Oryzias latipes: one gene and its partner. The protein of the gene in region 2 binds, or shares a complex with, the protein of the main gene of each other region. Links are inferred from orthologs where the notes say so. Each region holds a gene or a part of one and is shown on either strand. Other genes may lie near its edges.

Region 1 (3,936 bases), on a different chromosome or scaffold from region 2:
AACTTTGATACCTTTTTTTTTCTTCAAAAATGTAAAAACAACATAAATAAAAGTAGCTATTTAATCTATAAAGCTGAGACAGATGATAGGTTTTAACTGCTGTTCTGTAGGTACTGGGTGTATATAATGTCTGATTTGAGCAATTAATTCAAAGGAATTTTGAGGTTTAAAGCCAAATGTAGTTTAATGAATGTAATATTTTGTTAATAAAATCAGGAAATGTAACCAATAAAATTGTGAAGTAACTTTTCATAATCAGTAAAACCATACAGGATCTGTTTTTCCATGTCAGGAAGAAATCGAGAAAAAATTGAGTCATTATATCATACTGACAATTACTTCCAAACTAATTTTTTGTGATCATAGGTCGAAATTAAATATATGAATGTTTCTTCACATTGTTTACAAAATCTACCCCCCCCCCATATTAATCCTTTTGTCTTTGCAATTATCTTTCGAAAATGCAGTCGTATCAAGGAAGTTTGTTGTTTTCCCTGGGTAGTGACTTGTAGGTAAGTTGTTGCTGCCATAGACAGTATGGTTCCTGCCCAACTCAGTTTAACGAGGAGCTGTAGTAGTTATAGGTGCTACTTTTTCTAATCATATACATACAATAAAATGGTGAATAAAACTTCGGAAACTTCCAAATACTGTCATTAATTGTGTTATACCATGGGGAAATGCGTACGTTTCACAACAGTACACGTTAAAATGCCATCAAAATACAAAAAATCATATTGAGTTTTCCAAATAGTTTTTCTTTAAAAATTTGTAATATTCTAACAAAACCTTTCCACACAATAATGCTGACATACAACAATGGATTAGCTATTTTAAAGAACACCGAAAACTGAATGGTCTGATGCGCGGCTTAGATCGTTGTCAAAGGTTGCCTGCAAAACTATACACCGGTTTTTTTAACCCACTGACTGACAACAATGAGAGCAAAACAGCTGTCCTCTGATTTTGCCTGATTAAAAATAAACCCACTAACTTTAAATAAAAAAATGGAGGGGAAGAATATTACACTTTATTAGATTATCGTGAATGCCACTTCAATAGCGTAAATATACCCGTTTTTCAACTATTAGTCTAGTAGCACAATTCAGTTCTTTCTGCTTACGTGTGCACATAGCTGTAGGCGTCCCCTGAGATGCCTATGAGATATACTTCCATATTGGCACCAACTGAGTATTCTTCCCTGTAGTTGAATCGAGTTTTTTCTTTTTTTAAAGCAAGTGATCTACAGCTAAAACTTTGTAAAAGCTGTAAAAATATTTCGCACTTTACATGTTGGTCTTCCTCTGACAGGATTAACGATAAGTTGGTAAGTATGATTCATATTTTTCTTTCTGTTATCTCACTCAGCACAATAAACTTTTAACTTTTCAGATAATATTTCAAAAGTCTTTTCATTTTTTTTATTTTTTACAAACTGTTTAGTTTAAGTTATTTGAATCATGTGACCGACATTGTGTAGTTATCGTGTGCCATCTGGTCTAAGAGAACCAACTCAAACAACAACGTTTCCTTCTGCAGCTGAGATGATCGACAGTCTGTTCCTGATTAACCACTCAGGAGACATTTTCCTGGAGAAACACTGGAAGAGTGTTATCAGCCGGAGTGTTTGTGATTACTTTTTCGAAGCTAAGGAAAAAGCAGTAGACCCAGAAAATGTGGCCCCTGTCCTGCAGACCCCACACCACTATCTCATCAGTATATACAGGGACAAGATCTTCTTCCTGTCTGCCATCCAGACTGAAGTGCCTCCACTTTTTGTCATCGAGTTCCTGCACAGAGTTGGAGATACATTCTTGGTAGTATTGATTTCTTACCTGAATGTCTTCTTTGTGATAAGTGTGTGCCAGATCTTAAGTGCTTCTAGTCAAGCTCTAGGAATAAGTTTCCTTCTTGCTGCACTTTCATGTAAGTATATAATATATATTAAAGATATAACTAAAAAGTCCTTTATAAGACATTCTTTGAGGCATTAGTTTGGCCAAATATAAGAATTTCAGCAGCAACCTTAACCTTGACTGCAGTTAGTATTTTGTGCTGACTTAAACCAGGGATCGTCTTTGGAATTATCATTTAAACCAATAAAAAAGTATTTTTATTTCAGACTCGAAGTGTAAATGTCAACACCATTAAAAAGAAACACAAGACATACAAAATAATTAAAATACAAGTGAATACACCAATTATAAACCTAATAAAGTGGCCAAACCAGTACCTCCAAATTGGGGACTGGTAATGCAAAGTGCTGTGCCTGATGTTGGTTAGGGTTAAAATGATTTTATTCTTGGAAGCGTTAAAGACGTTGTATAAAACCATAAATAAGATTACTTAAAAGAGCTTGGAGAGTGTTGACTCATATATCATACGTCTTTTTAATAAAATCCCATTATATACCCCATGCAGGCTAAATGGCTATGGAAGGATTTGTTAATACACGATAAAGATATTTTACTTTGTGACTTATGTTTTATTTTGTCTAAACTAAACTGTGTTTATGACGGAAATTGTCATGGGGCACTGTAAGAAATGTTGCTGAATGGGTTTCATGTTAAAAAAAGGAAGAATTGTCAGATTTCAGTTAATAGTAAATGTACCATGTGTACATGCAGGTATGGTGACAAAGCAGAAAAGGAAAAACACAAAAAATATCTTTGAAAATATTAAATTGATAGTTTTGTGTGCTTTAATGCAAATTAAAGGGATTTTATTAAATCTGCGATCCAAAGTAATATCAAAAGGCTCTTCAAGTGCTTAGAAGTACAGCACTCTCAATTGTGCTACACTCTTTCTAATAGAACACAGAACTTACGTTATTGCCCATATTGGTCTGCTGACGCTGCTCAAAGGGACAGCCACTGTTGTCCTTTCAGTAACATTTTTTTTTTTTTTTTGCAGGATTACTTTGGAGAATGTTCAGAAACTGTAATCAAGGATAATGTAGTGATTGTTTACGAGCTATTGGAGGAGATGCTCGACAACGGATTTCCGCTCGCCACCGAGTCCAATGTCCTCAAGGAGATGATAAAGCCTCCCAACATTCTGCGGTCAGTCGTCAATACACTAACAGGTAAACAAACGTCACAAGGAACATTGTGAACTTCTGGCTCTTTAAGTCACACTGAAGGGCAGCGTTAACATTACATTTCATTTGTTTTTTCCAGGAGGTAGCAATGTTGGAAACACTTTGCCAACAGGTCAGCTGTCTAATGTTCCATGGAGAAGGGCTGGTGTCAAGTACACAAACAATGAGGCATATTTTGATGTGATCGAAGAAATTGATGCAATTCTCGATAAATCAGGTACTTGAAAAGAAGAGAAGAATAAAGCAGTTGGTGGGAAATGCAGTTAAATGCACAGTAATACCGGTGACTTTGTTTACTGAACAGGGACAACAGTATTTGCAGAGATCCAGGGGGTCATTGAAGCTTGTGTGAGGCTTACCGGGATGCCGGATCTCACTTTGTCCTTCATGGTGGGCTCATTTCCCCCCATATCTGTATTTAGATCATCTGTGCACTTTTGTTCAAGTCTAAATTTTGCTCATTATTGATGTATTATTGACAGAATCCTCGTCTCCTGGATGATGTGAGCTTTCATCCCTGCGTGAGGTTCAAACGCTGGGAGTCGGAACGGGTTTTGTCTTTCATCCCTCCAGATGGAAACTTCACTCTCATGTCATATCAAGTCAGCTCTCAGAAGTAAGTGATTCATGGGGAGAGCAATGGGGTGACTAGGGCTGGCTATGGATTATGAGGAGGACTGCATATATGAAGATGTCATCCTATCCTCAGGTTATAAAAATTCAGAGCTGGATAAAAGTTTTCAACCACAAAGAAAATTACTTTCAATATACAGTTTAGCCTCTTAAAGCATAGTTTAAATTGGAGGTTGTTGCAATTAAATTTTGGCATAACTCTG
Region 2 (3,500 bases):
CACAGTGACCAATCGGGGGACAGTGACACGTAGGTCGCGTCCTTTTCAAAACACAGAATATCCAACTGTTGTAAACATGATCACAAAGGAGAAAAATACTAATTACGTTTTGTGCCCTACTGGATTAAGATGAAACCAAGATAAACCTTTGTAGGAAAAGAGCTGCGAAAATAAAAAGCCTGGAGGAAGATTTGCATGAGATAGGCGGCGGACCAGCGCTAGGAAACAATAAAAATGTAACAAAAACCATTCCTGCTCCAATGTATTTAACATCTTTTTGATCAAATTTCTTTTCAGGAATTTTGTAGTTAGTCAAATTGTAAACTGGCCAATTAGATGCCTCAATAAGAGTAGGTGGAGCCTGCTGGTCCATACGTCCAACGTTTAAACAGTTTGACAGATTCCGTGTAGGTGTGGACTTCCTATGACAGGTTGCCATAGAAACAATGACGCAGACCGACTTGGATTGACCTCTGTTTACTGGCTCCAGTAGGGCTGGGCGATATGGCCCAAAAATAAATCTCAGATTTTATATTTTTTAAATTCGATTTCTGATTTTTCCCCCGACCCCCCCACTTAAGGAAAGCAATAAGTACAAACGACAGACAACTTAAAGCAAATTTTGCTTTGATTTGATCAAACGCAAGACAAATGTAACCCCCATTTCTGGGATGAATAATAAATAAATAAACACACTCTTGGAACCAAAGTCCTAGCTGTGTTTTAAGTCCCACTTTGTAGTCTAGACTAAAAGGAGACAAACATTCACCTTGAGAGTAGCACCATTTTCGAAAGGATTAACAATTCAGCTCAAACCTGGGGTCTATGGTTTTAATTAAATTAATAAACCCCGTCTTCCCCATGTCTTTGGCTATATGCAAAGCGACCGCTTCTGTGATTGCTCTCCACCGTGCCCCTTTCGGTACCCATCGGTACCCATCCCGTCCTAGGGATGGGTACCGAGACCCGGTATTGAACGAGCCCCGGGGCAACATTCTTCAAGACCTGACCTCAACGGTTCTGCTATCGGTACTGGAGAACTCGCATTTTTTGTGTACCACAAGATATAAACTTGAGCTGAGACGGTGTGGGATTTTTGATCACCGTGGTGATGAAGCGATTCGCGGTCAACTTCCCATTCTCACCGGTAGCCATGCTGTCACTTGCTGTTTCGTGTGTGCTATGATGTTCTTGTTTGTCGCTTGCCACACCGCCGTGTGAAACTAGCGCTACGGAAGTTCTGGGGAGCCATAAATGTGCCATTACACAGAAACTCAATTTAGTTATTTTTTAAATCGCCCGTAACAAAAAAATTCAAATTCATTCAATCGATTTTTCGCCCAGGCCTATGCTCCAGCGTGGGGGCGTCCATACCACAAAAAAACAAAATAGTACTGGATTGTCTTCATTTGGTTGGAGGAAACCAATATCTGTGGATGACGGTCCAGTTCTCAGATAATGGTTTGCAAAATAAATAAATGTTCTTCCTGCCGCTTACTTTAAAAACCTTCATCACCCTTTTATCGTGCCTTTCTGACATTTATTCTGAGCATTTATTTGCTCATCTGTGGACAAAACGAGCAGCTACCTTCAAGGTCTTTATGTGCGTGGGGTCAGTGGACCTCACGTAGAAGCTCTTCATGTACGGCTCAAACATTCCCTGGAAGGACACGAGACGTTTAAACACATCACATCCAAAAAAACACACCAAAAATACACGCATCACATCAAAAAAAAAAAAAAAAACACAGCAGGTCTGACACGCAGCCTTACCTTCCTCTGAATGGACATGGTGGCAATGTTCTGCAAAACGATGTACTGCACCTCTCTGTGCAGAAGACCAGAATGAAAACACGTTAGGAGTATTTGTACGCCAAACCTTCTGCAGAAGGAAAAAAGTGTGAAGGCAACCTGTGGCTCCTCAGCAGCCGAACAAGAGACTTGGTGACGACACTAACTTCGTGTTTTGGCGCCAGGTGCCAGTAAAGTTGAGCAACAGACATCACGACCTAAATCAAAGCAAACAGCACATTATTACAAGATTTTATCCTTCAGTTTGGATCAAAGTCCTAATTAAAAATAAAACAAAACCATGGTCCCATCCATCTTCTGATGACCCACAATAAATATAACTCCAGCATCTCTCTGGCCTGTATGAAGGCCCTCTAACAACATCCCACCATCAGGGTCATTTTTCAGCAGAGCTTTAAATAGCAGGATGGCGTGTGTCCGTCGTTTCAGGCAGAATGAAAAGGTTCAGCCATCTATGAAGATGGAAGATGTCACTGTGCCGACGCGAGGAAAGACACAGCGTGTCACATTTTAATCAACGCTTTCATTTGGGAGCATTTTTCCTCCCGCTGCTCCCCGGCGACGGAGACCTTGAGACTCCAGTGTGATGGAGATCCGCACTTTCACAGTTTTCTTTTCTTTTTTTCTTCTTCCCCCCACTGTGACAGGTTGTGTCCATGTTGTATTTATACAAGACAGCGTACTCTGATCGCAGTATTATAGAGAGAATGTTGAAATTCTCCATGCAGGACAAATTCAAGCTTTTTCATAGAACATTTTTAAGCTTTGACATCATTTTTACTATATTCCAACATTGGAAAATCTAAATTTGGGTAATGCTGTATAATAAAATCTCTTAATTGTTTAGTGTAATGATTAATTGATCAATCAAAAATGCAGTTAAGTTCAGCTCACGATTTATTAAAGTTAAAGTTAAAGTACCATTTGCTTTCACACATAGGAGTGTGAAATTTGTTCTCCGCATTTGACCCCTCCCCTGGGGGAGCGGGGAGCTGCAGGCACAGCCGCACTCGGGAACCTTTTGGTGGATTAAACCCCTCAATCCAACCCCTTAATGCTAAGCATTAAGCAGTGAGGCATTGGGTCCCATTTTTAGAGTCTTTGGTATGACCCGACCTTCCAGTCACAGGGCGGACACTCTACCACAAGGCCACTGAGCTGGTCTATTAACATTTACACATAGAATCAGGCAAGTTTAGACAGTTTGCACTCAGAACTGGAAAAGGCCATGAAAAGTGTCCTTTTCTGCTTATTTTCTTTAAGCACTATAACAATTCTTTGGGGTAATTCTTCAAGTATAAAAAAAATAAAGGAAAGGGAAAACAAAGACTTCTAACAACTGTATAACTTAATTCATTTTGCAATAGAGAATACAAGGACAGAACATTCTACTAACTTTCTACTTAGAATTTGCAGAAAGAAGCGGTTTTGGAGCGGAAATGACATCACCATAACCTCTGTCGCCCAAAGTCAGTCAAAAAGTCTGAATTGAAACTGGAAATTAAGAACTAAAAGCAAAGAGGGAAAGAAACAAAGGCTGAAAATACAAAAGGCTATGACATCGTATTAGGGGCCACAAACAAAAACAAAATAAAATAAAATAAAGGTAATATAATGAGATTTAAATTTACAACTTAAATATCATAAATGTATGACTTTCTTGTAAATTTATGAGATTTAAAGTTCAA

The links. Proteins that work in one complex are often made in the same cells at the same time.
Region 1: the proteins of ap3b1 (region 2) and AP-3 complex subunit mu-1 are in contact, whole or in part, in a cryo-EM structure (PDB 9C5A), measured with the Homo sapiens proteins. The link is inferred for Oryzias latipes from reciprocal best matches to the Homo sapiens genes AP3B1 and AP3M1. Residues at the interface, in NP_003655.3 of Homo sapiens: Leu60, Lys64, Val67, Gly68, Ile70, Ala71, Lys72, Gly73, Ile92, Glu93, Lys96, Leu97, Val100, Arg104, Glu107, Asn128, Gln129, Leu130, Arg137, Arg143, Ser163, Pro164, Tyr165, Lys168, Asn169, His172, Gln175, Lys176, Leu202, Ser206; in NP_001307192.1 of Homo sapiens: Met1, Phe15, Leu16, Glu17, Trp20, Lys21, Ser22, Val23, Gln26, Val42, Glu43, Asn44, Val45, Pro46, Pro47, Val48, Ser50, Tyr55, Ser58, Ile59, Tyr60, Gln71, Thr72, Glu73, Val74, Pro75, Pro76, Leu77, Phe78, Ile80.

The regions. Positions count from the first base shown.
Region 1 is NC_019873.2:23,929,022-23,932,957, reverse strand, and holds the start of AP-3 complex subunit mu-1, read left to right. Parts: upstream 1-1,136; 5' UTR 1,137-1,327; intron 1,328-1,539; 5' UTR 1,540-1,544; coding exon 1,545-1,817; intron 1,818-2,913; coding exon 2,914-3,085; intron 3,086-3,179; coding exon 3,180-3,317; intron 3,318-3,404; coding exon 3,405-3,490; intron 3,491-3,582; coding exon 3,583-3,716; intron 3,717-3,936. UniProt on the Homo sapiens protein: Part of the AP-3 complex, an adaptor-related complex which is not clathrin-associated. The complex is associated with the Golgi region as well as more peripheral structures.
Region 2 is NC_019870.2:3,643,733-3,647,232, forward strand, and holds part of ap3b1 (AP-3 complex subunit beta-1), read right to left. Parts: intron 2,010-3,500; coding exon 1,912-2,009; intron 1,829-1,911; coding exon 1,774-1,828; intron 1,661-1,773; coding exon 1,589-1,660; intron 1-1,588. UniProt on the Homo sapiens protein: Subunit of non-clathrin- and clathrin-associated adaptor protein complex 3 (AP-3) that plays a role in protein sorting in the late-Golgi/trans-Golgi network (TGN) and/or endosomes.